Linked DNA regions of Lepisosteus oculatus. The protein of the gene in region 2 purifies or fractionates together with the protein of the main gene of each other region. This does not show direct contact. Links are inferred from orthologs where the notes say so. Each region holds a gene or a part of one and is shown on either strand. Other genes may lie near its edges.

Region 1 (14,987 bases), on a different chromosome or scaffold from region 2:
TTCGCGGGGAGGTGATCTCCCAGGCGCCAGCGGGGGAAACGCGAGCCTGTAATAAGCCTCAATTTTGTTTTCTGCGATTCTGCTTTCCTGGCTGTGTCTCTTTCCGCCTGGCTCTGGCCGCACTCCGGCTGCCCAGTCCTGAACTCCGGGGCTTGTGGGAGCCTGTGGGAACATAAAAGCATCTTTTCTCTGCAGACTGCATTCCAGCCGAGCCGCGGGCGAGCTTCTGGAGCGACACGGAGCAACGCAGCAACCCAGAGCAGATCTTTCTATAGCGCCTTTCTTCCCCCTGGGGCTTGAGGCTTTTTTTTACAGGCCTGCAGTAAGTTTGTTTTGCCTCGAATTCTGCAAGGAATCTGAAACGACAGCGTTTTAGTTTCTACAGCGGAGAAGATCTCCTGTTCTGTGACCACAGCTCTGCGGCTCCTCCCTCTCCCCGATTCCGATACTGGAGCGCCTCCCGCCTCCCACCCAGGGGGGCTGAAAGGATGGCCTCCGTGCCCGTCCCAGGGTCCCCCACCGGCCGCCCCGCCTCTGGAGACCCTCGCCCGGGACCTTCCTCGGCCCGACCCGCACCGGGGCGCCCCCCCCAGAGTTCCGAGGAGCAGGCCGGCAGGGGACCCCCGGCCAGGTTCTCCATCAGGCCCGCCAGCAGCCGGTCCGCGGCGGCCGTCTCGGGGATTAGGCGCCCCAGACTGCTGGAGCTGTGCAGCATCTTCGAGGGGGACCCGGAGGCCGGGGGACCCCGCTCTCCGCCGCGGGAGAGCCGGAGGAGGGAGAACTCGGAGTCCGGGGGGGGCGAGACCAGAGGCGCAGCCAGAACCGGACCTTCGAGCGGAGGGGCCCTCCCCCCCAGGGTGGTCCCCAAACCGCCGGTGGAGACCAGCGCCGCCCAGATGAGGAACAAGAGTACCGGCTCCCTCTGGCCAGGGTCCGGCAGTTGTACCCCCGGAACCGCCAACCCAGGCGTGGACCGGCCCGGCTGGAAACAGGACTTCCACGACCGTAGCAAGAGCCTGGACTGGCGGGAGTCCAGCAGGGCGGGGCCCGGGTTCGAAAAGGAGGCCAACGGACCTGTCCGGACCGCCGCCCCAGAGGAGAGGAAGCCCGGGGCGACCCAGTGGGGCTCCAGCCCCCCGAGACCGCCCAGGAACCAGGACCGGGGTGGGGGCTCGGACCAGGCCGGCGCCGACGCCTACGTGTCCTCCGCGGGCCGGGCGGAGCAGAAGTCCGGCGGGGCGGCCCCAGGCCCGCTCTGGGGCAGCGTGGGGAAGGGAGCACAGAAGATCCTGATCGTCGCGGAGAGGACCAGGAGCGGGAAATCTCTCCCCGCCCGGATCAGGCCGGAGCCGGGCTTCTGCACCGCCTGGGCCCGCAGGGACGACCCCGGCCCACGCCGGCCCTCGCCCACCTTCGCCGAAGCCGTGGCCAGAGGCAGCATGGCGGAGGCTCCCCGCAGGGGCTCCCCTGTCCACGCAAGGGGACCCTCGCCGGCGCAGGACCGGCCCGCCCGAGTGCCGCCCAACCCGGGCGCCGCCACCGGCACCGGCGCAGTCCAGGACAAGGATGCCAGCCCGGGCGCGGGCAGGACGTCTGGAAACTACGTCTCTGAACGCCTCCAGCCGGGCAGCGCAGACCAGGCCGCGGCTCGGGATCAGGAACCCAGCCGGGGGGCGAGCCTGAGGGATCCTGGGAATATCCCGGCTGGCGCAGGGCGTCCCGGGCCGCCGACGGCGCGCGGCTTCCAGCCCGGCGGCGGCAGCAGCTCCGGCTCGTCCTGCTCGTCCTCGTCCTCGTCCAGCAGCAGCAGGGACTCCGTGTTCGGATCCGGGGTGCCATCCCGGCTGCTGGAAAGGACACACCGGGGGGGCCCCTACCCCGCCCGGGTGAGACCCGTGACACACGGCCCCTCCTGGGAGCGCGGCCCCGTGTCCGGAGCGATGACCAGGACGGTGACCGCGGTCCAGCGCAGCCCCAACAGCGGGGTCCTCTCCCAACAGAGAGAGCAGCCGAGGAAACCCTGGGATGAATCCAGGTATCGCTCCCACGCCAGCGCCTCGGATCTGGGGAGACAGATTTCGATCCAGGAGAGACCCCCCACGTTTCAGCCATCCCAGTCCCGATCCGGAGGAGGAGGAGGAGAAGGGGGGAGTCGCCCGGATTTCCGGGACACTGCTGTCTCCACGGAGACGGTGCGGAACAAGATCCATCGCTTTGAGACCCTGGCCCACCGGAAGGACAGCCCGGCACCGAAGCCGGACCAGAGGCCCGGCCCATCCTCCTCCTTCCAGCGGGCCGCCCGGGTCTTCTCGGAGACGGCCCCCGGCGCGGACCCCCAGCGGAGGGGACGGCCCGCCTGGAGGAGGGGGGACGAGGAGCGGGCGGCGGCGTGGGTCCGATCGGCGTCGCTCGACAGCGCGCCCCGACTCGGAAACCCTCCGGCAGATCCGGACGGGGAGGAAAAAGCCGGAGGAGGAGACCCCTGGGTGGGGGGCCCACCCGCGGGGTCCGATCCCAGGGGTAGCCGTCCCAGAACTGGCACCGAGGACGAGTGCGACTCTCCGGCCCCGAAACCCACCGTCCCCGACAGCAGGACGGCTGCTGCCCCCCAGGAGGACACCTCCGAACCCGGGTCGCCCCTTGTTGTGGAGGGGCCCCTCCCCCTGGGCCCCATCGCAGGCAATTTCAACAACAACTCCAGCAACGGGCTGCCTCCCAGTCCGCTCGCCCGCGCCGGCCTCGCTCCGCCTTCCAGGCCAGCGGGTCACCTCCCGGACCTGGTCCCCTCTGGCCTCCTCCGGGAGCCCCATCCCGGGAAAACCCCGTTCCCGCGGACGTGCTCCCCCGGACTGCCACGGCCCCCGGACCAGACCGGGGAGAGCCTCCGTCTGCCGCCACCTGCGGCCCCCGAATCCCGGGACACCTGGGGGCGCTGGAGCTCGGAGGAGGAAGACTCCCGTTCCGAGAGCTCCGAGAGCTCCGAGGGCCACGACACGGATTCAGACCGCTCGGATTCCGGCTCCTCTTCGTTGACGATAACCAGTAGCTTCAGCCAGTCGGACAGGCGCAGCTTCTCCGTCAGGTCAGTGGCCGGGGGCCGGGTGTCTTGAAGAGGCTCGTTCCCTGGTAGGCTGTGGGGAAGGTGTCTGGTTTCTGAAGGCAGTACCCCTGTGAGCTCCGTGTGTCACACACGGCAATAAGAAAACATCTCATAAGACGTTGCGCTGTAAAAAAGCTCAGCACTTTGTCCCTTCTAAAACGTCCCCTTTCCCTAAGACAAAATGGATTACATCATAGAGCGAGAGAAGAAGCACTAGATTTGTTATTCAAAGCTTATCAGTTACTTTCAGCTAATTCTAATGACCCAGACAGCATATATTGTTTTGGTACATTGTCTTCTAAAGTAACCTAAACAGTGTACTTTGTTGACGCACTGTTTTCTAAAGTTCTGCACGTACTGTAGCACAGCAGTTACATCCTTGAAATATATTATCTAAAAGCACCAATATATTTTTTGCAAAGCTCTCTACATTTTAAGAATCAATTTACTTATTAGATTTCCACTTCAGGTTGTTCATCATCATCCCGGCAGCTTGGGTTTGGATGAGATGCCCGCTCCGGGAGAGGGGCATGTCTGCTTCCCACTCCCCCCCGGTCATCCGCAATCTGGATAGCCACCGGGGAAAAAGAAAAAAGAGGGGTTTTTCATCCAGTATGGGGTGCAGTGCTCTAGGGCAGCGGGGTGGTGCAGAGGTTTGCACTGGAGCTCCACAGCACCGGGACACCTGGGTTCGATTCCTGGGGTGCTGTCTGCGTGGAGTTTGCATGTTCTCCCCCCCCAAGTCCGCGTGGGTTTCCTCCCGCAGTCCAGAGACAGGCTGGTGGGGTAACTGGCTTCTGGGAAAACTGGGCCTGGTGTATGAGTGTGAGTGTGAGTGTGAGTGTGAGTGTGAGTGCTGGGAGAGGCTCTGACTCCCCCGTGACCCTGTACTGGATGAAACAGTGAGAAAATGACAAACCATTTACTGAAGGATCCAGGGACTCTCACTTCAACAACACAGCTGGGCAGCTTGTTCCAGGCACCTGCTACCCTTCCTGTAGTGCTGTGTCTTCCCCTCGCCTGACGACATTTAACGTGTCACGCACGGGAGAAAAACACACGGCCCTATTCACCAGCCCCCCTCTCTCTCCCCCCCCAGTCTGGCGGACCTGTGCGGCTTGGGGGGCGCAGACGACTGGGACGACTCCGACGCGGAGGACAGCCGGTCGCTCCGCTCCGCCTCCCTGAGCTCCAGCATGTCCTCCGCCCTGTCCATGGTGTCCATCATCCCTCACGACGAGCTGGAGAGCCTGCTGGACGACGTGAGGGCGGCGGGGGAGGAGACCCTGGCGGTAAGCCCCGCCCATGTCCCCGCCCACACGTGCACAAGCCTCACCTACTGGTGCACTGGCGCACGTGTGTGCGTGAGCACGTGCACGATTCCCGGACTCCTGCAGGAGTGGAGCACAATGACTGGGCACGGGACGTTGTCTTTTATGTAGCATTTATTTGTGCCGTCCGAGAGCTTTTGAAAGTCTCTCTATGTGTGCAAAACATATCTCCATGGATGTAAAGAAATTTTGTGAGAAATCAGACAAAGTATTACTGCACGCGTGTATATTACGAAAATTCTCGGACTCACAGCATGTACTGTACAGAATTGTTCATGTCCACTTTCTCTTTCTCTCTCCCTGCTGTTCCCACACTCTCTACTCTCTGGCCTCATCTCCCCGTCTCTGCCTCCTCCTCGCTCTCAGAACTGTGAGGATATCCAGGTGGTGGTCCTGCACAAGGAGGCGGGCTCTGGGCTGGGCTTCACCGTGGCCGGGGGAGTGGATCAGAACAAGCCTGTGACTGTGAGTGCACACTGTCTCTGTGTGTCTCTCTATGGCTGTGAGTGGACACACTCTCTATGTGTCTCTCTATGAGTGGACACTGTCTCTGTGTGTCTGTCTGTGACTGTGAGTGCACACTGTCTCTGTGTGTCTCACTATGGCTGTGAGTGGACACTGTCTCTGTGTGTCTCTCTATGAGTGCACACTGTCTCTGTGTGTCTGCCTGTGACTGTGAGTGCACACTGTCTCTGTGTGTCTGTCTGTGACTGTGAGTGCACACTGTCTCTGTGTGTCTCTCTATGGCTGTGAGTGGACACTGTCTCTGTGTGTCTCTCTATGAGTGCACACTGTCTCTGTGTGTCTGTCTGTGACTGTGAGTGCACACTGTCTCTGTGTGTCTCTCTATGGCTGTGAGTGGACACTGTCTCTGTGTGTCTCTCTATGAGTGGAAACTGTTTCTGTCTCCTCATCCTTCTGCGTGACTCTGTGTCAGAGTGTCTCCCAGCTTCTGCGTCCGTCTCTTGTCTTCTGCTGTGTCCCCTGTCACGTCTCGCATCTGGGCCCAGATGTGGTTCCCCCCCGCACCCCGCAGTGTCCACGGCTCGGCACTCCGCTGTCCGGCCAGGGGGCAGTGAGCTCCCTGCGCACGGCCGGTCCGGACCGTAATAACGGGAGCGTCCGGCTGTGTCCGCAGGTCCACCGGGTGTTCCCCTGCGGCCTGGCGGCCCAGGAAGGCTCCATCCGCGAGGGCGACCGCGTGCTGTCCATCAACGGCACTGCGCTGCAGGCGGCCGCCCACTGGGAGGCGCTGCGGACACTGCGGAGGGCGAGGTCCCGAGAGCAGGCCATCGTGGTGCTCCGGAAGGGGACCTGCACCCCCGCCGCCACCGCCGAGCCCCAGGGCACCCAGCCCCACGGCCTCCCCACGGGTGACGGTGGGTATCCAGACCAGAACCAGGCCGCGGACCCAACTGCCCCACACAGCTCCTTTGCATGGCAGCTGGCAGCCCACTGGAGCTCAGGTGTGAGTCTGCCCAGCTCCTGGATGGGAGACTGCTGCTGGAGGAGGTGTTAGTGAGGCCAGCAGGGGGCGCTCACCCTGCGGTCTGTGTGGGTCCTAATGCTCCATTATTGTGACTGGGACACTATGTAGACTGTAAAAAGGCGCCGTCCTTCGGATGAGACATAATACTGAGGTCCTGACTCTCTGTGGGCATTAAAAATTCCAGGGCGTTTCTCCAAAAAGAGTAGGGGTGTTAATCCTGGTGTCCAGGCCAAATGTCCCCTGGTGGTAGTGGAGGGGATCCCCATTACCTGTAAAGCACTTTGAGTGGTGTCCAGAAAAGCGCAAGGAATGATCATTTATGTTGTAACTACATTTCACTGTAACAGTGAGCACGACAGTGTAATAAGCATGTTCTTGCTTGAGACCCGCACTGGTCAAAGTGGCTCCTAGAAACAGGATTTATCCCCGTTTCTAAGGTGTTCAGTGGAATAAACAGTACAGGTTTCCTCCTTTAGGGGTTCACCCCAGCCACTGGTGTGGGTACCCACTGATAGGGCTGTGAAGGCAGGATAGTACAGCGCCATAATGAGACAGGCCAGATTTGAACCCGCAACCTTTTGAAAACAGGTTCAGAGCACTAGCTGCAGCTCCACGCTACCCCCTTCAGTGCATAAAGGAAAGTGTAATATGGTGAGGGAATTAGGGCTTATTACTGTGTAATAGATGTCATATTACTATGTAATAGATGTCATATTACCACAGGATGTGTAATGGCAGGAGTGTAATGGCCTCCTTGTGGTTCATCCCTGCAGCCCAGCCAGGGAAGACCGTGCATCTGATCCTCACCAAGAGCTCCTCGGACCTGGGCTTCAGCCTGGAGGGGGGGCGCGGGTCCAACCAGGGGGACAGGCCCCTCACCGTCAAGAAGGTCTTCCCAGGTAAGACGCCGACGGGCAACGTCAGGCTCCCGAGCGTCACTTTAGCGCACTGCTGTCATGTTCCCTTCCTGGCCCTCCCACTTTTTATTCACCTGCCCTCCCTCCCTCCTTCCTGTCTTCCTGTCTCCCTGTCTCCTGCCCGTCTTCCCAGGCGGCCCCGTCGACCAGGTGCTCCCCGGAGACGAGGTCCTGGAGGTGAAAGGTCGGAGCCTGCGGGGCTTGAGGAGGCTGGAGGCCTGGAACTGGATCAAGATGCTGCCCCCTGGGCCGGTGGAGGTGTTACTGCAGCGCCCCTGCAGACTGTAGGGAGAGGAGGAAGAGAGAGGGATGAGCTTGTCTGGCCCTGTAACCAGCACATGGGGGACAGGGGTTCAGGGCACAGAGAGAGAGGGGAGACAGGGGTTCAGGGCACAGAGAGAGAGAGGAATTCAGGGCAGAGAGAGCAGTGATAAGATTCAGACATGAACACAGGCAGAAAATCAGGAAGCTACACAGAGCAGCTGAATGAAGAGGGGGACAAGAATTTGCAGCAATTCATGTTTCAGCATCTTTTAACATTTTGTATAACAATCTTAAAAAAACAAAAAAAATGGCTTGTTAATAATATCTTGTTAACGTCCCCTAAAATCAAAATCTTAATTATAAACTTTTGTGCTTGCTTTAAATAAATGTGTTGTAATTCAGTTTTGGATTGTGTGTTACTTTTTCTCCATCTACGACGTTCATTTTATACGAATATCAAACTACAGTTCAGTAGAGCCCAGTGAGATCAGGGTAAAAGCACAGTACAGTGCAGTACAACCCAGTGAGATCAGGGTAAAAGCACAGTACAGTGCAGTAGAGCCCAGTGAGATCAGGGTAAAAGCACAGTACAGAGCAGTATAGCCCAGCAAGATCAGGGTAAAAGCAGAGTACAGAGCAGTACAGCCCAGCGAGATCAGGGTAAAAGCACAGTACAGTGCAGTAAAGCCCAGTGAGATCAGGTTAAAAGCACAGTACAGTGCAGTAAAGCCCAGTGAGATCAGGGTAAAAGCACAGTACAGTGCAGTACAAATGTGGTGAACAGCTGTAGTCTAAGCCTCGTGTCCGTTCTCAAACTTAATGAGAATTAATCAGCCACATTCTTCACTGCACATGCTTGTGAACGAACAGCAGGTTGTTTGCCTGTAAGGCAACCTTTTTTTTCTTTGAGCTGGCTGAAGCGGTACGTCGGGATTTTTCTCCAGTGATTAATCAGAAACCAGATTCGAGCACTGTGAATAACGCTGACTCCTACACCACCCCCCCTCGGCCTCTAGCTTGCTTTTGTGCTGTAATGTTTACGACACACCGCCCGTGCCCTCCGCGTTGTAACTTACAGCAATAATCGTCACTTTCCGGCAGTGTGTCATTACGGCCAAGTTCAGTTACGGCAGTGTGGCACGTTCGTTTTCCTTCTCCGCGTCCTTGTAAGAAGAAGCGAGCAAGAGCTTTATGCCAAAATAAAGTATTAAGCCACAAAGACGATTTTTTATTTAAAAGGAAATCTGTCAGATGAGCTTGTTTGACTTGTTTCGCGGTTTTTTCGGGTTCCCGAGAGGCAGTTACCCCGGAGATAGACGGAGGTGAGTTAGTATTGCAGTTGTCAAACAGATGTTTACCCTGTTTTGAAAATGCTTTACTTTTGAAGTGTTATTTTTAATATTTTAAAAACGGCCTGGAAAGGCGCTTTTAAGGGAAACCACGGCTGGAAATACCGGTTATCTAAAGTTACAAATTCCGACGTGAACTAATACACGACATTTTGTTGGTTATATCATCTCGGTGCGTTATCAAGACCCTAATACTGGTAATTCCGTCGTTACTGACGAGGATGACGACAGACTCTTAAAGTATTGCTCATGTTGTGTACGTCTAGTGTTCTGGAACTGGACTTAATTATGTAGCACAAATAACTTTGAGACTGCCGAGAACAATTCCGCTCTGAAGTATCGGAAGGGAATAACTACATAACTGAGTAATTCACTCGTCACTTGAGCAAGTCCATTAGAGACTGAGCACCCCACGAGCTGTTAGCCGTTTGCTTATTAGGTTTTAGCTGACGTCTAACATTTCAGTTACTCAGAAACCACGATGGAGCCGCTTTGAAGAAAGCTTTTTTGCATTTTTTAAATTATTTTCCATTGTTTTTTTTTAAATATTTGCTTGCTTGTTGCTTCTTGTTGATGTTTTACTACGTTAACACACCGGTAAAGTTTCCGCCACTAGAGGGCGCCCGGCCTCTTTTCTCTTCTCTCCTCCTCCTCCTCCTCTCCCCACCTCTGTTGCTGTCTCCCTCTTCCTTGTTTCCTGTCCTTTCACATTTTTCTCCATCCATCCATTTTCTAAACGATTAATCCAGGACAGGGAGGGTCACAGGGGAGCTGGAGTCTATCCTAGCAAGCAAAGGGCACGAGGCGGGGTACACCCTGGACAGGACACCAGTCCATCGCCGGGCACACAGACACACACACCCTGGACAGGACACCAGTCCATCGCCGGGCACACAGACACACACACCCTGGACAGGACACCAGTCCATCGCAGGACACACAGACATACACACACACACGCCCTGGACAGGACACCAGTCCATCACAGGACACACGGACGCACACAAACCCTGGACGGGATGCCAGTCCATCGCAGGACACACAGACACACACACCCTGGACAGGACACCAGTCCATCGCAGGACACACAGACTCTCACACTGACACCAGGGCTGATTTGCCCCAGAGCCCAGCAGCATGTCTTTAGACTGCGAGAGGAAGCGTAGCACCTGGAGGAAACCCATATGAGCCTCCAGAGAGAGCATGCAGACTCCACACAGACAGTGCCCCGGGTTCGGGGTTGACCACTGGGAGCCACCGTGCCGCCCCTTTCGCCTTCCCGGTGTAAACTCCGTGCTCTCGCTATCCCACAATCCCTCCACACGCCGGCGCTGATCTCTCTGTCAACCCCCCCCCCCCCCTCCTCTGGCGCTCCAGGGACCCGTTCTTCGAGGGCATGACGCGAGATGATGACGATGACGACGACGACGAGGGCGAAGACGAGGAGGCGCTGCGGTTCGGGTTCAGCTTCGGCCCCGGCGGGATGCACTTCGAGGAGCCGGCGGCGTTCCGGGAGCTGTTCCGCGAGGTGGAGGAGCTGCTGGCCGGCGTGGGCCGCTGGGACGGCCTGCCCAGCTCCACCCCCTTCGGTGAGCCGCCTGGCGACGCCCCTTCGGGTGGGGGTGGCGTGCTGCAGTCCTTAAAGACGTGAACACCCAGGGTTCAGTTCCTGGAGTACTGTCTGGGAGGAGTTTGCATGTTCTCCCTGATTTTGTGAGTGTGTTTCTTACCACAGTCCAACCACCCAATAGAAGGTTCATTGGCTTCTGAGGGACATGGCGTTGGTGTGAGTGTCTGTGTCTGTCTATGCTCTGATGGACTGGTGTCCTGTCCAGGGTCTGTGTGCCCTCTGATTGACTGGTGTCCTGTCCAAGGTGTGGCTGTGTGTCCGTCAATGGACTGGTGTCCTGTCCGTTGCGTGTGCGTATCCATCTGTCCGTCCATCCGTCCGTCCTCTGATGGACTGCTGTGCTGTCCAGGGTGTGTGTGTGTGTGTGTGTGTGTCTGATAGATTGGTGTCCTGTCCAGGGTGTAGCTTGCCTTGCCTGTTGCTTGCTGGGATAGGCTCCAGCTCCCCCATGATCCTGAATTGGTTGAAGTGTTTAGAAAATGGATGGATGAGGAACCAGTGGATAGGTGTGCTTAAGCGTGTGTGGATGTGCTCATGCGTGTGCGTGTGATGTGTTGGTTCCTAGCACACTGCACCCCGTACTGTACTGTGTTCCTGTACAGTGCAGGTGTCTTCTGTTCCCTCCTGCTGCCTGGATGTGTCCTGTTAGTTCCCCACCGGATCCTCATGCTCTCTCCCCTCTCTGCTCCCCAGCGATCCCCAGTATCGAGGCGCCGGGGCGGCAGGAGCGCGGCAGGTCTCCGAGGGACTTCATGCTGAGACACCCCGACAGCACCCCGTCCTCTGACCAGGGGGACAGGGAGCCCCCCTCAGGGCCCTTCTCCAAGGTGAGAGCCCTTCTTCAGGAGGGTGTTGATCGACCTGGCTCTGTGTCCGCTGCCCCTGTGCTGTCCTACTGTATTCCACTCCCTCCCTGTCACTGCGCAGTTCTGCTGTCTCCTCTCTGTGCGTGTGTCTTTTCTGGGAAGCCACTTTTAAAGGTGCTTTAGAAAATAATAATAATAATAATAGCCTCAATAATAATGATAATGATAATAATAATTACTATGATCATGTTGCGATCCGAAGTGATTGTGAGGATGAAGGGGGATGTTGTGGTTTTTCTCTCTTGCACCCGATTGCAGCGCTGCTGGTGTGGGCAGGGCAGGGCGGGGTGGGGTGGGGTGGAGGGGGGCAGTAGGGGTGCGTGGATGAGCGGACGGAGGGGTCAGGGGTCAGTGCTGAAGGAAGAGTCGTTTCGGAGTGCCTGTTGTATTAATCCTCTTCAAGCCCTGATGTTCTGATGGGCTTTGGGTCACTAAGCCTCCCTCCTCTTCCTCTCCCAGTTCGATGACGTCTGGCGGGGGGGCCTGTGGAGGGCGGAAGAGGGGGAGCCCCTGAAGCAGGACGGAGGTAAGAGACCTTGAGGGGTGTGGTGTGGTGGGGTGGGGGGGCCCCTGAGACCCTCAGCCCCACGAGGCCTGTGGGTGTTGCCAGTTCTAACCCAGGTCTCGGGTGTCGCAGTGGGAGTGTGGTTGGGTGTGGTTAGACTTGTCTCCTCCTCTCTTGGTTTTTCGGGGGGGGGGGGGACTGCAGCCCCTCGCAGTGACATCATCCCACAGGACGGGTCTGGGGCAGCTGCTAACCCCAGCTGGGGGCAAGAAAAAAAATGACCACCGGCCCTCTCCCATTTCGTCCCCCGTTCAGCTCCTGGCCACAGCCGCCTGTTGTCGGGGTGGGTCGGGCCTGGGTCAGGCCTGAGCCGGGCCACAGGAGAAGCGGCGCCGCCCGTGTGACACGAGGCACCTCTCAGCCTTCACTCACCCTCTTCTCCCTCGCTCCCTCCCTCTCCCACTCTTCTCCCTCGCTCCCTCTCCCTCTTCTCCCTGACTCTCTCCCTCTCCCTGCAGATCTGGACTCCCAGGTTTCCTCGGAGGGGCTGGAGAAGATCCTGACTCCCGCGCAGCCCAGGGCTAAGTCCAAGTCCTTCTTCAAGTCCGTCACTGTCACCAAAGTGGTGTCCCCCGACGGGGTAGGGCAGGCGATCTGTTTCAGTCTTGTATAGCGCCTTTCACCCCAGAGCGTCTCGAACCCAGCCCTAGCTGTGCCCCCTCTGTCTGAGAGACCTCCTCGCTTCCGTCTTTAGTAACTGTGCTGAAAGGACTCGTGTGCAGCACGTACAGCTGCTCTTTCAAGGAAAGAGCCCGTCCCTGTCTTGTCACTGCTGCTGTCTTTATTAATATAGTCCGTTATTTATATATTATATCATATACAGTACACTATTAATGTATTGATATAGTATAGTGTGAACAGTACATTATTAATGTATTATATTGTATACAGTACACTATTAATGTATTGATATACTATATTGTGAACAGTACATTATTAATGTATTGATATAGTATATTGTGATGAGTACATTATTAATGTATTATATTGTAACAAGTACACTATTAATGTATTGATATAGTATATTGTGAACAGTACATTATTAATATATTATATTGTATACAGTACATTATTAATGTACTGATATAGTATATTGTGATGAGTACATTATTAATATATCATATTGTAACAAGTACACTATTGATGTATTGATATAGTATATTGTGAACAGTACATTATTAATATAGTATATTGATGCACTGTATCTGTATGTGTCTGCAGACCGTGGAGGAGAGGCGCACAGTGAGGGACAGCCAGGGCAATGAGGAGACTACAGTGACCCGCTCCGGCCCGGCAGACAGGAGCCCCCAGATCCAGCAGGGACCCCCAGAGCCCGGTCAGTGATCCCCCCCCCCCACCGCCACCCCTCCCTGGGTAGACTGCCGATGCAGTGGTGTGGGATGTTGGGGGGCGGGGGACGTGGCCCTGCCCCTGCCCCTGCCCCTGCCCCTGCCCCTGCCCCTGCCCCGGCCTGCTGTCCTCTCTGGGGCAGCGATGTGGGGTTGCCGTGCAGCTGTGGCTGTCGAGAGGCTGAGCTTGTGGTGCCATAGTGGTGCCTTGAGTAGGATTCAGTGAGCCCCAGGGACAGCAACAGAGGAAAGGGGGAGTGTTCACTAGGACGCACCAGGGCAGAAACGGCGGTGTTGGGTTTGGCCTGCACAGGGGTGGTCAGCCTCCCAGTCTGATCCCACTGTTTCCATTTTCAGCGCCCGGATTAATTGGTACCAGACTCACAGGCTCGTCTGTCCGGGCTGGTGGGTCTGGGTGTTTTTCTCCTGTGTTGCCTGATCCCGCCTGTCCTCTGTTCTGTGCAGGCGTGTCCCCGGGCTCCTCAGGAATGCAGGATGATGCCTCCATCTTCTCCCGGTTCTTCGGGGGATTCCGGGATCGGTAGGAGGCCGGCACCATCCGGAAGAGGGCAGGAGGAGGCAGGAGCTCGGGTCGGTTCGAGCTTTTCCGCTGGAAACGTGCTCTGGACTCTTCACAGTTTTCCCTTTCCCCAGCGTGTGTGACGACATGGGGAGCTGGGATTGGACTTGGGAATTAATTAAAAATAAGGCAACTGGAAACTGAAAATACTCCTGGCTCGGCCCTTCTAGCCTCTGACGGCCTCGACCAGTTGTGATTTTATTTTGACATGCGTGCCAATTAACACACCCGCAGTGGGGTGATCACTCTCTTCCTCTCTCATTCGGTCACACCTGGGGGTTTGAAAGAAGAAGAAACAGATTGATTCCTTCTTTTCGGGATAGCTTGTACAGAAATCGCAGAATAGCAGTAACTTCTTTTGTTGAAGTGATTTTGTGCATCAGGGATGATGTCTGGAACGTCCATTAAAAGTGGCTTCTAGTGCAAGAGAAAGGCGTGAGTTTTCATTTTATAATCCCCGTCTCTGAACTGGCTTCATCCCTCTGCTCTCCTCCCCACTGAAAGCTGGTGTGTGAGGAGAGGACTGGAGCATCATCCAGGTGGGGCTGCACACTGGTGGTGGTGGAGGGGACCCCATTACCTGTACAGCGTTGTGAGTGGAGTGTCCAGAAAAGTGCTAAATAAAGTGCAAGGAACTATTATTGATGAAGGATCTTATTATTGCTTGCCATTTTGTTCCTATAATAATTATAATAATAATTCCTTACACTTATATAGTGCTTTTCTGGACACTCCACTCAAAGTCCTTTACAGGTAATGGGGATCCCCTCCATCACCACCAGTGTGCAGCCCCACCTGGATGATGCGACAGCAGCCATAGTGCGCCAGAACACTCCCCACACACCAGCTCTCAGTGGGGAGGAGAGTAATGAAGCCAATTCATAGATTTGTCTATATAATACAAATCTGTTTATATATAATATAAAATATAATTTGTCCTATGTGTATATAATCTTGTATCCTTCCGACTAAGGTCTTTTTAATGTTTGGGACGCCGTTATTTAAGTTGTCAAGAAAGACATAACACGGCCTGGATGGAGGACCTCAGTGAGCACAGGACCAGGCTGCACTGTGAACATCTGGAAGAGGGAGGGGGAACTAGCTGCACAGGTTCAAGAGGAGGACACCAAGGTCATCATCCCTGGGTCCTGGGGTTGCCAGAGGAACCTCCTTCACCCGTCATTAAGTTCCTGCGATGAAGATGAGGAGGACTGGAGGGAAGGTGAAGGTGCTGTGGGATGTGGTATGAAGCAGGTGTGGTCGTATTCGTCTTTGGGGCTGTCCTGACTTCGTCTCCAGACGTTCCTCTCAGCTCGGTGGGACTCGAGTGCAGGTCTTCTTCAGGAACCTCATTCACGTCTAGCTCATGAGTCGGGGAGGCAGATCTGCATGTCCCTGCCAAAGGAACTCTGCAGGTACAAAACTGTCACATCATAAAAGATCTTCCAGTGGCTAATCTTAACTCATTCAAAATTCTTCCTGTTTAACATTGCCACCGATTTCTTGTTCTGTCGAGAGTACTTCTGAAAGATTTGTGTTCTTGTTTC
Region 2 (14,993 bases):
ACACGCGAGCTCAGCGGCGCCCCCTGCAGGGCCCGAGCCCACGCCGCGGCTGCCAGCGCCAGGCAGCACGAGGCTCCCAGCAGCCCCCACCGAAGGCCGCGCGCGCTGGGAGGCAGAGAGACGACAGGAACAGCGTGAGGAGGAGCAGAGACGAGAAAGACACACAGGAGGACGTGGAGGAGCGGGAGATGCAGCTCATTACTAGGGCCCTTCCCCGCCGTACTCACCCCAGCCCCCCGCCCCGCCGCGCGGCCCCCACGACCCGGCTCCCGGCCGTGCTCATGTCTCTCCCAGGACAGGTAATGGAGGCGCCGGGGAAGCCGGGTCTGCCTTCCTCTTCAGAGCTGCAGGAATGCGGTCGGACCAGCGGGATGAGCAGCCCTGCCTTCCCGAGGCAGCGCTGGAATGCCGTGGAGGCCACGGAGCCCGTGGTGTCATTCTCGGGACAGCTGAACAGCGCCGCCCCCGCGGCGGGTCCAGGGGCTGCCGGGCAGTGAGGTGCTGCCCCAGGGCAACCAACCCCTTGGGCATTTTTGCCATTCAAGATTGTTCCTGCTGATCCTGCTCTGTACTTGAACTCCCTCTTTGTAGCCAGACATGTCAAAGCAGAAAAGCCACCCTTCTTACCTCTCACTGCTGCGCCCTGCCTGCCAGTCAAGACAGCTGTCTGCTCCAGGCCTCCCTCTACAGAGCTGGGTGTGTTCATGGCAACCCCCCGACACGGACACACACGGACACACACGGACACACACGGACACACACGGACACACACGGACACACACGAGCTCCAAGCACAAACCATGTCCAAGTCCAGTTTAACTCTTCAAGTTTTATTTTCACACAAATACAATCTACCACCTGTTAAAAGGAACAACATTCAGCAAACTGAATCTGGGACTAGTACAAGACTGTGAGAGTCCCTAGTGCTGTGAGCTCAAAGAGTGGAACGCAGCCGGAGACACGTTCCTGGAGACGAGGGGGATCACGCGGCCTATGGCAGCTCAGGGAGAGGAGCCGCCCTGCAGCATGCTGGGAAAGGCAGCTGTGCTGAGAGCCGTCATGGCGGAACTTTCCTGCGGACAATGATGGAGGACCAGAGGGCCCCCCAGACCGCGTGCATCGGGCTGCTCAGATACGGCGCCCCCCGGCACGCGCTTCCCACAGTGCCGCTGCTCCGCGGCTGGGACACCACACCCGACCCCGTCGGCCAGCAGGCACACGGGCAGGCTAAACCAGCCCGGCTGACGTGGAGCGCCAACAAGCAGAGGGCATCCGCACGCGCCCCAGCCCGCCGACCCGCGGTAGCGCACGCTGTCAGAGGCAGGCCTGCCGAAACCACGGCCCTGAGTGGCTCTGCCCCCCAGGAGCCCCGTCCCCGCGCCATACCGCGGCCAGCGGCCCAGCGGGCGAGACTAAACAGCCAACAAACTCCGGCACTGTCCTTCTCCTCCGACGAGACGCACTAATAAAACCTCACAGCTGGCCCTCGAGCACACCGCGCACGATACGTCCCCCTGGCCTGGACCCCAAACTTGACGTTACCCCTCCTGCACTGACACTGCCCTCCCCTCGACCCCGAGCAAGGATCGGCCAAGGCTGGAACGGCTCCTCCGCACTCCTGCAGAGCTCTTAGTTACTTACTGTTCTTTTCTTACATTTAATTGATCAAAAGTTCTTCTGAAGCTGGAGACTTCGAGCACTCAGCTTCAGAAGTCAGGAGCAAGGAGCTGTAAAACGATGATGACTGCTGTTAAAGGAAACGGGCGAGTCCGGGGGGGGCAGGGCGAGTCGGGGGGTGCCGGTCGCGGACGTGTCCCCCTCCGCCTCCTCACGCGACAGGGAGCAGCACCTTCTGGCTGCTGACGATGTCACTGAGCTGCCGCTTGATGTTCAGGAAGTGGCGCTTGAACTCCAGGCCGTCGCCCTGAACATGGGGAGAGGGAAACGTAGTGCCGCATTTGTGAGACTGTCAGAACCGAGGAGCGAAGAGATCCTCAACCCGCGAGCAGTCAACAGAGGCCCCTTTGAGCCACACGGCCCGGGTCCGAGCTCACCTTGGACAGCCTGAAGTCCATCAGGATCTTCTCTTCCATTTCCAGCAGATGCACCTTGAAGATCAGCTTGTTGTTACGGCGATCCATTGTGGAGACGGTTACCTAGGAGACAGAGTGATGCGACACGGGACGCAAGGTCATGTGACCATGCTTCAACACTCATGACATGTTTAGATAACACCAGCCTTAACCAGCCCTGACAGCATCCAGGCAAGGATAAATGGTGTTGACACTTTGTGTTTGCCAATCACAGTGATAAGTGATGACATTATACTGAAGATCATTTGTAGCACCAGCATCAGAATCACATACACCATTTCTACCAGTGTGTTATTTACCTGAAGGTGTGACTGCATTAAAAAACAGTCTTTTAGGAAAAATCATCACTATTTTAAGATTAAGATGTACAGCAAAATTCTGATTTCATATTTTTATCAAATGAATGCACTGTGCAGCTAGAGTCCCTCCCCCCTCGGTACCTGATTGGTGCAGGTCTGTTTCCTGAATGCACCGTGCAGCTACAGCCCCGCCCCCCTCGGTACCTGATTGGTGCAGGTCTGTTTCCAGGTGTAGCCCATGCGCAGGCAGACCTTGCGCAGTGTAGCGCAGGATTGTTCTGCCTCCAGCGTGGTGAAGAAGCGCGTCATCCTCTTGACCAGCCGCTGCCAGGGGGTCTGACAGAGAGAGACATCATGCCTACAGTGTGCTGTGACCCGGGTGTCCCCTGCGCGAGCGCCCGTCCCCTGGGCGGCGTGTGCTGTGACCCGGGTGTCCCCTGCGAGAGCGCCCGTCCCCGCGCGGCGTGTGGTGTGACCCGGGTGTCCCCTGCGAGAGCGCCCGTCCCCTGGGCGGCGTGTGCTGTGACCCGGGTGTCCCCTGAAGACCTCACCTGGCTGGACCCTGGCGTTCCCAGCAGCTGGCTGCCCAGCAGCATGTGCTCCGGGCAGGCCGGCTGGGAGAAGCTGATCTGCTGCACCATGGCCTGCATGCTCCCGGGACTGGACTCCCAGGACGACGCGCCTGTGACCGGCTCGGGCTGGGAGCTCGAAAACTGCACCCTGTCCTCACTGAGGAGGACACCGGAGGGACAGGGAAGGAAAGGAGAGAGAAACGTCTCCTGAATGAAGTGTCCGGAAAAGCGCTATACTAGTGAAAGGGATTATTATTATGCTGTAAAAACAAATAAGTAGCTTTTTCTTGGCCACAGTCACAATGATTGCAAAGCAAGGGCTTCTGATAAGTGAGAATTAGAGACCATCTTCACATGCTGTATGTGGGGAAACACACAGCTCAGCTGCAGTGGCCCATCAGGACCCGGGGGGGAGAATGGCCCTCCCCACCACGCGCCGCGCCTCGCCACGCCACCACACTGACCTGCCGGCCCGGCCCACCGGGACCCTCTCGGAGTCCGAGCGCAACAGCTTGTGCCCCAGGCCCGGGGAGTCGCCCTGCCCCCCGGAGGAGAGAGGAGGCCGCTGCGCCCCTGAAAAAAACAACAGCGCGTCACCGCCCCGTCGCGGTCGGAGCACAGCCGGTCCGGAGCAGCAGAGCCACAGCAGAGGACGGGAACACAACCGGATCGCTTGGAGAGAGCGGGTCAGCGTGCCCCTCCTGGCTCCTGGGAGCAGAGGTCAGCAGCTCTATCTCTGGCCGCCCACTGGAGCCCAGCAGTGAGAGCCTGGCCAGTACCTGGAGGGGAGGAGTCCGTGGGGCCAGCAGGGGGCGCTCACCCTGGGGTCTGTGTGGGTCCTAATGCCCCAGTACAGTGACGGATGAGATGTAAAATCGAGGTCCTGACTCTCTGTGGTCATTAACAATCCCGGGGTGTTTCTCAAGAAGATTTGTATGTGTTTCTTTGCTATAAAATACTATACTATAAAATGCTATAAAATGTCAACAGCCTTGAGTTAAATTTTTCTTCTCCTAAAAGTGTCTGCTCTGCTACTTTGGACATTAATATGTTGATATATCTTGCTAGCACCTATATCACCCTGCAGCTCCCGGCTGGCAGCCCCACTGGAGCTCAGCAGTGTGAGCCTGGTCAGTACCTGGAGGGGAGACTCCTGGGAGAGCTGAGGCTGCTGCTGGGAGAGGTGTCAGTGGGGCCAGTAGGGGGCGCTCACCCTGGGGTCTGTGTGGGTCCTAATGCCCCTGTATAGTCATGGGGACACTACACTGTAAAAGGCCTCCTAATAACCCCCGTCTCTGAACTGGCCTCATCACTCTGCTCTCCTCCCCGCTGAGAGCTGGTGTGTGGGGAGCGGACTGGAGCATCATCCAGGTGGGGGTACACACTGGTGGGGGTGGAGGGGATCCCCCCGACCTGTAAAGAGCTCTGAGTGGAGGGTCCAGAGAAGCGCTATAGCAGTGTAGGGAGTTACAATTAACACCATTACTAGCACTGGGCAACTTCTCCCCACAAAGTGCCTCATAAAAACTTTCAAAGGAGGTTGTTTTCTTGAAGTCACCCTCTCGATCGGAACCGCACCTGACTTGCAGCCCCTGGTGAACCAGTGGTCCTTCTTGATGTCCGGGATGGCGATGCGGCTGGCAGGGTCGTGCAGCAGGATCCGGGTCAGCAGGCCTGCGGTCAAGCAGAGACAGGGGGCACACCCCCCAGGATTGAGGGCCGGGGTTCACTGGAGGCTCCACCCCGTAACGCAACTGCGCAGTAGTCCGAGGACTTTGACAGAAAAGTATTAAGACACAATAAACTTTGAGAACGATGAAACTCCTCCACCACCTCGACAGCTCTCAGGGCGGGCAGACAGAAGAGCCTTACTGAGCGGGGCCGCGTCCATCTTCTTCCAGGGCGAGAGGAAGGTCTTCCCCTGCAGCCAGTCGGAGTACTCCTGGCAGGTCTCGCTGGGCTGGTCCCACGGGAGCTCTGCGGCGGCACAGCGACGGGGCGCGTCAGACTGAGAGGGCAGCACTGCAGTGCCACCGGGGGAGACGAGCCTCCGCCGTCCCACTGACCCCCCGGGACACACACACACCGGACCCCCCCTGGGACACACATAGTCACCCCTGACACACACTGACCCCCCCTGGACACACACACCGGACCCCCCCTGGGACACACATAGTCACCCCTGACACACACTGACCCCCCCGGGACACACATAGTCACCCCTGACACACACTGACCCCTGACTCCACTGTCCCACTGACCCCCCCAGGACACACACACTGGACCCCCAGGACACACACACACACACACACTGGACCCCCCCCGGGACACACACACACTGGACCCCCCGACTCCACTGTCCCCCTGACGGCAGCACCTGACACAGGCCCGCGCTCTCACCCCCGGCCAGCATGGCGGTCAGGACGATGCCGCAGGCCCAGACGTCCCCGGGCTGCGCGTGGAAGTCCGCCCGCGAGAGCAGCTCGGGAGCCACGTAGGGCAGCGTCCCGCACAGCCGGGACAGAAGCCGCTCCCGCCCGCGGTGCCGGAACATGGTGGCCAGGCCGAGGTCGGAGATCTTCAGCTGGTCTGGGGCCAAGAGGACGGAGGAAACCATCTCAGTGTCACCAAAACGCCCCGCGTCCACTCACAGCCTTCAAATCAGGCTGTACACTGCCCAGCAGGAGCCACACCAGAGGCTGGACGCCTCTCGGGGACAGGCCGGGGACAGGGGGGGATTAGGGGGTCGGTACACTGTCAGGACCCAGCCCAGCTCTCACCTCTGTCGTCCAGCAGCAGGTTCTCCGGCTTGATGTCCCGGTGAGTGATTCCTATTCCATGGAGGTACTCCTGTGGAGCGCACACACACACACACACACAGTTATCCCAGCGCACTGGAGTCCACGAGCCACAGTGACGCCTCCCTCTCCGCCCCGCGGCCCCCGAGACGCACCTCCCTCTTCAACCTGCGGCCCCCGAGACACTCAAGCACGGCCCCCATCGCTGCAAGGACTGCTGGGATCGCTGTGATCGCTCAGCACGCCTCTCACGCTGGCTCGGCACACAAGAGCCGCTGACCCCCCCACCCAAACGAAGGCAAAAGGAAGAAGGGGGACCCCCGGACCAGACAGCCCAGCCGGGGACACCCCACCAGCGCGGCGCTGAAGGACAGACTCACCACGCCGGCAACCAGCTGCTGGAAGAACCTGTGCGCATCTCTCTCCGGCATCCCCACGTCCGGCTCTGAGGGAGGGAGGGAGAGGAGGGTGAGGAGAGTGAGGAGGGAGAGGAGAGTGAGGAGAGTGAGGAGGGAGAGGAGAGTGAGGAGAGTGAGGAGAGTGAGGAGAGTGAGGAGAGTGAGGAGGGAGAGGAGGGAGAGGAGGGTGAGGAGGGTGAGGAGCAGGAGGGGCGCCTCACCGATGCGGTCGAAGAGCTCGCCGCCGCTGCAGTACTCCAGGAAGATGTAGTGCGTGTCCCCCTCACGCCGGTGGCCGTAGAAGCGCACGATGTTGCGGTGGCTGAGCATCTTGTGGATGCAGATCTCCTTCTTGACGTTGTCCGCACAGTCGGCCGCCCGCGAGGTGTCCACCACCTTCACCGCCACCGCCTCCTCCGTCTGCCTGTTCACCAGCAGACGCACCCTGGCGGCCAGAGAGCACACGGGTGACCAGTCGCCCCGCTGAGCCCGAGACGAGCCCCCCTCCCCCCGCCAGCTGCTCCTGCAGCCCAGGCCAGTCGGAGATCAGGAGAAGCACGCACAACACACACTGGACAGCACACACTGGACAGCACTGCCTCCGGCACGCACGCACAACACACACTGGACAGCACACACTGGACAGCACTGCCTCCGGCACGCACGCACAACACACACTGGACAGCACTGCCTCCGGCACGCACGCACAACACACACTGGACAGCACAGCCTCCGGCACGCACGCACAACACACACTGGACAGCACAGCCTCCGGCACGCACGCACAACACACACTGGACAGCACTGCCTCCGGCACGCACGCACAACACACACTGGACAGCACTGCCTCCGGCACGCACACACAACACACACTGGACAGCACTGCCTCCCGCACGCACACACAACACACACTGGACAACAGTGCTTCACCCAGCCACAGAAACTGGGCACAGGCAGACCCGACCATGCAGAGAACACAGGCTCACTGACCACAGGCTGGACACAGGCAGACCTGGCTGTACAGAGAACACAGGCTCACTGACCACAGGCTGGACACAGAAACATTTCAAATCCCAATGTGGGCTGAAAACAAGTCCCCCAGTCCTGCAGTGTCAGTGAGTCCGCAGGTCCGACAGCCTGCAGGACCATCGATGGACACCGGCCTGAGGCGTTCACAGTTACTGCTGGCACATCAGGCCCCCGGCGAGCCAGGGCGCGGTACTTACTCTCCATAAGCCCCCTCTCCCAGCGTCTGCACCACGTCCCAGTCCTGCACGAAGGGCACGGCCATGTCCAGGGCTCAGGGACACACACACCTGCTCGCCCGGCCAGACGAGAGCAGAGACAGTCAGAGCACCTACAGGCGCCAGCGGTATCACACACAGCTGCACCCCTGACACACCGGCCACTGCGGCTCCGGCAAGACAGCACCCTCACCAGAACCGACACCCGCCCCGGGCTCCGGTCCTCTCGGAACCAGAACCGACACAGGGACACCTGGAACACGCTGAAGAGCCCGTCCGGGCCGCGGCGCACAGCAGGGAGCTTTTAGAAACGCCTTTGACTCGGATCGAAAAGGCGCTGCGCTTCGCACCCAACTTCTCGACAGACTGCAGCAGTCCGCATCACGGCAGACCAAGGCGATCGTTGCCCGTATTTCGGATTTTTTTAAAATCAGTTTACCCCTCCGAAATAACTGCACGGCCGCGCTTTGGCGCGCTCCGGTCTCAAATCTCCTCCACGCTCCTTCCGCTCTGGGCTCACGCACTTCCTGTTGACGTCGGCAGCAGGGGAGATGGGCGACATGCGAATGACGTCAGCGGGACGACTCTAATCCGCCATCTTGCTGTTGGGTGACAGCGCAGCGTTTTCAAAAGCGAATGAAATAGCGCTTTGTTCACTAGTACACGTTTCCGAGATGTGTTTTTTCGGGGTCGTGACGTCAATCAGCCCCCCTATAATGTCGTAGGGAAACCGGGCCGGTCTCATTCGTTAGTGCTGCGTTTGTGCTGCTTCCATTCCCGAGATATAGCGCCTTGTTTTTCCTGTGATCAAGTGACCATGCACGGTGCCTTTGACCTCCAGTGACCCCGTCTGCGGACCATGGCAATATTGGAAACATGTTTTTTATTTTCACATAACAGAAGCGAACTTATATCTGCATTTTTTAATAAACTCATTAGCCGTGTGTTTGTATTTACAGGAGTCTTATGCGCAAATATGAAGCGATGAGCTCACAGTCCTTGTATCTTCGTGTTTCCGGCCAGTCTTGGTGTAGAATACAGCGTGAGGGCACACCTGCCCCCTGAAGACACAGGTGTGGGCGCCTGTGTTAGATCCTCAGGTGAAGTCGAGTCTTATGCAGTCTGCGATGTACTGACCCAGACATGTTTGCTTGTCCTGCTCCATGAAGGTTCCCACCCGCCCGTCGAACAGCACAAACGACGGTTTGTGTTGCTGTAATTAGCGTTTGTGCTGCTTTCGTTTCCGAGATATAGCGCCTTGATTTCGGGTAATCACGTGACCATCTACAAGGAAGTTTACAGGTACCAACAAACTCGGTGCTTGAACTCCTGATTGTGATGAAAACAATGGGGGCAATGGGGGCCAGGCAGGCAGGACTGTTTGACGGCTCTCTGAACGATGGCGCCGGCCGCAGCAGTGTCCCCGACCCTCTCTGGGGGATCTGTTGGGAAGTCCTCTCCAGCCACGGCCTGCCTCCGCTCACAGAGGACTCCCAGCTGAGGACTGGCAGGAACAGGACCGCAGCGGGTCCCGTCGGTTCCCACATGGCAAGCACCATGTCAGCCTGTAGACTTACTACATCGCGTCTGCGGGGAACTGAACACAAAGCTGAAATGCCTGTATCCCAGGCAACGAACCACCAGCAAGCAGCAGGAAGCTGAAGGCTGAAGGATGGTGCTGCACAGCAGGACAGCTGCTGTAGGGTCACCCGCTGTGCCCCAGGGCAGAGAACAGGCCAGACACCAGGGTTCAGTTAAAAAAGCCTTCTCTCTTTAATCATCCCCTCCCCCGATCACAACAGGACGACTATTACCAGAGCCACAATGGAATTCACTGTACACAAGTCCCGGGTTTGTCCCATAATAATACAACTTCTTTTTTTACATTATACAAGTCCCTTCAGGTTAGGAGGTCTTCAAGAAGAAAAAAAAAACAAACAAAATCATGTTATCCTCTTTTTGCGGCCTGCAGGGCGTCCCGTCTCCGAGATGAGAATCCATCGCTAGGCAACGGCGCCCAGCGCGACCACAGAGCCGAACGAGCCGCGCCGCGGGAAGACCACCATGGAGAAGAGGGTCGCTCCGTCTGCAAGCGAGAGCCCCCCGGTGGTCGCCGGCCGCAGGCGGGGCTCCGGGCAGCTCAAGGGCGCTCGCTCTCTGCGCCCCAGAGGCTCGGACAGGACACGCGCTCCTCCTCTCCATACCCTGCACGGGGAGCCCCTCAGAAACAGGGCAAAACGCACCCCCTCTGCTCCTGGGGGTGTCTGCAGGCGAGAGGCATCTCGGGGCGCAGGAGGAGGGAGGGGGGAGTCTACCGCAGCGACATCTTCACTCCGGCTCTCCGCAGCCCTCGGACACAGAAAACGTCCAACCTTGACCTTCTAAGAAAATAAAAGCTCTAATATATTACACCGAACCTCCAACAGAAAAAGCCGCACGGATGCGTTTTATCCCTGGAACCCAGCGTCCCGTTCTTCCTGCCCTGCGCCCTGGGTCAGGGCTTGGCGATGTGGACCTCGCTGGCGCCGCTGCCGTTGGTGGTGGTGGTGATGATGTACTGCGCCGCGGGCTGCTGGGCGGCGGCCTGCTGCTGCGGCTCCAGCTGGTCGGGGTGCACGGGGGCGCTGCTCTGGGGAACGGCCGCCTGCTTGGGGTCCAGCTCCGCCTGCCCCTCCGAAATCACGTAGTGCGTCTGCAGGAAGAGGGGTGGGGGGGTCAGACAGCCGTCTCAAGCAAAAGCCTGAGCCGCACAGTCCAGACACCTGGCGCCTGTGACCGGGACTCCCAGCGCCCTGCTGCCGGCGCCCCGGACCGAGGCCTGCTGCCGTACCCTGCTGTCGCCGAGAGCTGCACACACTGCAGAGGGAGTGCCTGCGATACAGGCGTCAGCGAGGAGCGGGAGGCGAGGCCCACAGCAGGAAGCTCAGGGCTGAAGGATGTTGCTGCACAGCAGGACAGCCCGTTTAGGGGTCACTCGCTGTGCCCCAGGCCAGACAGAAGGCTTTTTTTAACCAAGCCCCGGTTCTTTAGTCATCCCCTCCCCTGGAGATGGGGACAGGATGACAGGGCTCCTCCACTGGGTGCCAACCCTCCTTCAGGCGCTGCGGGGCTCTCCGCAGGCCAGCGTGTCGGAGAAGGGCAAGGAGGAGGCCTCCGATTTTAACAGCCGTCTCGGGGGGACACAACCCAAATACCTGACAAACCCTCCGGAGCCACCGACTTGTAAGAAACCTGCTGCACGTTCGAGTGACATCGCTGTGACAGGGACACCTTCCACAGAAGACCACCCCCCCCCCGACTCGCTCGGATGTCAACAGGCCGAAACCTCCTGACCTGGGACATGGTTTTGACCTGACCGCTGTTCACCGCGCTCACTGGGGCCCCGGTCTCGGCGATCACGTACTGGGCGTGGGGGAGAGTCATCATCTGGATCTCCGAGGCTGGACAGAAGAACGAGAGAGGAATGTAAAAAGCCTGGAACAGGGCTTTGAATGACACCGACCTTCTCTTCACCCCCTCGACCAACAGCACAATGTGTATCGAGTACGGTCAGCACCGGTCAAAGATGACAAGATGTACATCAGCACTGGGGAAAACCAACAGGGCGGCCCAAGATCTTTTCCGGTTTCTCAGTCCAGTTACATTCTTCAAATTACAGGGAAGGTTTGGGAGCGACACCGAGCCCGAGGACAATCCTGTTGGCTCGTCTTCACTGCGAGAAGATCTCTAGCTGGGGTACAGAGGGACTCATGCTAGAAAGTGTGCTTCAGCAGGTGGGGAGGACATCCCCAGCTACAAGTCACGATCTCGAAGATGCCATACAGCTTTCGAAAAAGACACAGACTGCCACTACACTTAGGAAACAGAGGCAGGGTATTTCAGCACTTTTTCATAAAACGGAGCCAGCTGTCCATTCTGGAACACAGAGATATTTTCTAATCCCAGGGGCCGATCAGTGAAAAAGGGCTCATTCGGGTCGTGAAAACTATGACCAGCGTGTTGCTCTCCCCATTCTCTCTCTACACGGTATTCCGGACTCTGGAGCACTGCCGCACACAAACACGGAGTGCATGGTATGAGCACATGACATGCGTGTGCTTATAGCAGGGTCTCCAGTCCTGGTCCTGCAGGGTTTCTGGGTCCCGACAGCAGCGGAGGGGATGGGAGTGATCACCCACAGGCAAATACCGGCAACCACACCCACCCTCCAGGGCCAGGGCTGGGGGCCTCTGTATGAAACACGAATATGTCCAGCCCAGTCACTCACAGTAGCCCCTGTAGTTCCAGTTGCTGGGCAGGTAGGCGTGCTGCACTGCCCCCTGCTGCTGAGACGAGGGTGTCTGCAGGGTGTGGCTCTGCGCCAGGGTTACCGGGGTGACGGTCTGTAACTGGGAGGGGCTCAGCTCCTGCGTCGCCTGCTGGGAGGAGGGGCTAAGTGGCTGCCCAGCTACCTGGGAATAAAAGGGAGAAGAGTCTTTAGACGAGCTGGCCAATCCTGAAGAGAACAGGACCTGGCTCCCTTGAACACCCTTAACCACAGCTTTTCTAATCATGCACACAAACATCTTTACATTTCTTTGTATCAAGGGTTTCTTGTCCCAATTTCTGCCCCAGTTGACACGGTACTCATCTGATAAAAGAGCAGCACAAACTGAAGATGCTTTAAAGCCATAAGTGAATCTTCAGCAAAGAAACTTCGATGACAACGGTTCCCAGCACATGACCTGCCCTGCTCTGGCTTCAGATTACAAAACGCTGCTCTCTCCACTTGCTGCGAGGCCACACTGGTCTCTCCCGGCTGGGTTCACTGCCGACGTTCGGCACCCAAGCCCCGGCACTCCCAGACCACACGAGCTGCATCGCGGACGAACGACATCGGAAAGACCAGCCAACCTCCCGCCCTGAAAAGACACAGAAGGGGCACACCCACGAGGCACCCCTCTCGCAAGAGGACCCGAATCCCAGCGGGAAGGTGCGAGTTTCCCCCTGGCCCCGCCCGGGCCGGTTACCTGCGCGGAGCCCTGCGCGGAGCCGGCCGGCTCGGCCAGCTGGATGTGCTGCACCTGGATGGAGTGCTGCGTGTAGCCGTGGGGCTCGTGCAGCTGGCTGACGTCCACCGTGGAATGCTGGGAGGTGTGCGGAGAGGACGCCTGGGGGGGGGAAGACAGGGTGCAAACCTTCAGAGGAAAACTACCAACAGGCTGCGCGGCATGTTAACTCCTTATACATCTATAGCGCTTCTCTGGACCTCCACTCAAAGCCCTTTACAGGTCATGGGGATCCCCTCCACCCCCACCAGTGTGCAGCCCCAGCTGGATGATGCTCCAGCCCTCTCCCAGCTCTCAGTGGGGAGGAGAGCAGAGCGATGAGGCCAGTTCAGAGACAGGGCTTATTAGGAGGCCATGATGGGTAAAGGCCAGGAGGAGATTTGACCAGGACACTGGGGTAACACCCCTACTCTTCTCGAGAAACACCCCGGGATTGTTAATGACCTCAGAGAGTCAGGACCTCGGTTTTATGTCTCATCTGAAGGACGGGGACACTATACTGCAAAAAGGTGCCATCACAACAATGGCCCATCAGGAGCGCCCCCTGCTGGCCCCACTGACACCTCTCCCAGCTGCAGCCTCAGCTCCGTGGGCTGGAGGGGCCCAGAACAGTGTCCCCCGCAGCGGGTCACGGCGAGCGCCCCTCACCGGCGCCACCTGCACGACCTGCAGCTGGATGTGCTGCGGCTGGGCCTGGGAAACGGGGATGTACTGGATCCGCTGGTAGTCCCCCTGGGGCGTCCGGTAGTCCGAGGTCAGGGTCTGGGAGAGCTCCGTCATCGCCTGCGTCAGCAGGTCTGTGGTCTGGGACGGAGACAGAGGCACAGTCAGAGGCGAGAGACGCAGAGCTGCAGCCCTCCACTCTTCCTCACTTCAGTTTCGTGCACGCGGTTCCCATCTGGGAGAGTACCGACACGGTCTGTCTGAAACGGACTGTAAGGAACCGGGAAATACTCGAGATCTTGAGTCGCGGACACTATTGAATACTGTACTGACGATATACAATACAGTCATTCACGCTACTTGGAAATCAAACGACTCTATATCTTCTTAGATATTGATCTCTGCTCTAAAATCGTCTGATAAGGTGCTCAGTCTTTTGGAAAACGAAAACGAGTTGTTTTTTAAAATTCTTTGAAGTAACTTACTCCAGCGGCTGATCATTTTAACTCCCTGAATTGACATTTCTTAATTAACATCCCTTTGTTTAGGAAGCGGATGAGCTGACAGCCAGCAGTGTGTGTGTGTGTGTGTGTGACCCCCCCCCTCCTCACCACCACAGCCTCTGTGGTGGAGCTGTCGCTGGTGATGACGGCCGGCGTGCTGCTGATGATGGCCGTGCCCAGAGGCGTCTGGATGGTGTTGGCCAGCTGTGCAAACTCGGGGTGCTTCTTCCGGATGTGCTGGACCATCTTGGTCTGCGGGAGAGGAGGACACGGAGAGAGACAGGCATGGTCAGAGGGAACGTCTCCAGCTCCAGCCATTCAGGACGCAGATTCCCAGGATGAGCTTCTCGGGTTGATGACATATTTCATGACGGCCCGCCGAGACTGCGTGGAGACCCGGGTGGACTGATCCCGACTCCTCCACACAGCGGAGCGCAATCAACTCAACCACCTCCCGCTGGCAAAGGGCACAAGGGTGCGAGCCGAGAGCAGGGCAGTGGCTGCGAGCTGCAGCCTTCAGCAAAGCACAGACAGGTCAGCTCGCAGGCCCAAGGGGCACATTCGGTACCTTAAAATCTGTGCTGCCTGCACACCCTGCGAGCCACGCCATCCGTGGGCAAGTACTTAAACCTGAAACAAGGCGCTCCTGCGCTCGAACGGGGGTGGGTGTGGAGAACAAGGCCTGGGTGGGCCGGCAGCGCCGCTCACGGTCAGGAGACGGGAACGAGGACTCGTGGTCTCGCCATGTCTGGGCGACAGGGCGCACTGCCGGACTGGCGGTGTAGCCATCTCGGCAGGACGCTGACCGTGTCAGCACTGGGACTGGAGCACGAGCCTCCTGGCCTCCCGACACCGTCCAGCCGGGAGCAGGGAGGCCGGAGGGGGATGCCTCCCGAGCCGGCTGCAGGCCCTCACCTTGCTGCTGTACTGCTTGGAGCAGTGTGGGCAGCAGACTGGCGCGGTGGCGATGGTGCCGGTCAGCTGCGTGTGGGTGCTGAGCATGGGGTCGGGCTCCCCGGGGCCGGCCGGCCGCAGCTTGCGGATGCTGGGGGGCAGCTCGGCGCCGGGGTGGTTCTTCAGGATGTGGGCCTTCCGCTTGCTGGCACTCTTGTACACCTGCCGGAGAGGCCACAGTCAGACGAGCAGGGAGAACTGCTTCCGGAGCCACTCCGGACTCCGGGATCTTCGGCGCAACACGGGCAGAGAGAGAGAGAGGGACAGAGCCGCGAGAGAGCACCTTGTCGCAGTACTGGCAGAAGTAGTCTCTGTTGGGCTTGATGATGGGCAGGGTGAGCTCGGGCACCTCGTCGATCCTCATGTCGGGGTGGCGCTTGGACAGGTGGTTCACCTGGAGGGGCGACACCAGGAGTTTCAG

What was found.
Region 1: the proteins of chek1 (region 2) and hax1 purify together in Homo sapiens (affinity purification with mass spectrometry; 3 studies listed by BioGRID and IntAct, with this or other methods). This does not show direct contact. The link is inferred for Lepisosteus oculatus from reciprocal best matches to the Homo sapiens genes CHEK1 and HAX1.

Annotation. Positions count from the first base shown.
Region 1 is NC_090722.1:5,805,668-5,820,654, forward strand, and holds hax1 (HCLS1-associated protein X-1), read left to right. Parts: upstream 1-8,209; 5' UTR 8,210-8,352; coding exon 8,353-8,423; intron 8,424-8,725; exon of another isoform or gene 8,726-8,815; intron 8,816-9,827; coding exon 9,828-10,039; intron 10,040-10,773; coding exon 10,774-10,907; intron 10,908-11,405; coding exon 11,406-11,472; intron 11,473-11,969; coding exon 11,970-12,091; intron 12,092-12,732; coding exon 12,733-12,847; intron 12,848-13,325; coding exon 13,326-13,405; 3' UTR 13,406-13,872; downstream 13,873-14,987. Other genes in the region: pro-interleukin-16, read left to right, coding at 489-3,082, 4,200-4,392, 4,798-4,896, 5,570-5,810, 6,694-6,819, 6,971-7,125. UniProt on the Homo sapiens protein: Recruits the Arp2/3 complex to the cell cortex and regulates reorganization of the cortical actin cytoskeleton via its interaction with KCNC3 and the Arp2/3 complex. Slows down the rate of inactivation of KCNC3 channels. Promotes GNA13-mediated cell migration.
Region 2 is NC_090718.1:15,709,137-15,724,129, reverse strand, and holds chek1 (serine/threonine-protein kinase Chk1), read right to left. Parts: upstream 7,911-14,993; 5' UTR 7,844-7,910; exon of another isoform or gene 7,477-7,843; 5' UTR 7,452-7,476; coding exon 7,387-7,451; intron 6,606-7,386; coding exon 6,382-6,605; intron 6,208-6,381; coding exon 6,143-6,207; intron 5,815-6,142; coding exon 5,745-5,814; intron 5,554-5,744; coding exon 5,365-5,553; intron 4,942-5,364; coding exon 4,837-4,941; intron 4,639-4,836; coding exon 4,543-4,638; intron 3,538-4,542; coding exon 3,429-3,537; intron 3,122-3,428; coding exon 2,944-3,121; intron 2,729-2,943; coding exon 2,597-2,728; coding exon of another isoform or gene 2,573-2,596; exon of another isoform or gene 2,534-2,572; intron 2,157-2,533; coding exon 2,055-2,156; intron 1,925-2,054; coding exon 1,829-1,924; 3' UTR 815-1,828; downstream 1-814. Other genes in the region: uncharacterized protein, read right to left, coding at 1-334, 628-706; prdm10 (PR domain zinc finger protein 10), read right to left, coding at 9,899-10,096, 10,738-10,844, 11,672-11,855, 12,414-12,554, 13,101-13,256, 13,727-13,870, 14,534-14,734, 14,856-14,966. UniProt on the Homo sapiens protein: Serine/threonine-protein kinase which is required for checkpoint-mediated cell cycle arrest and activation of DNA repair in response to the presence of DNA damage or unreplicated DNA.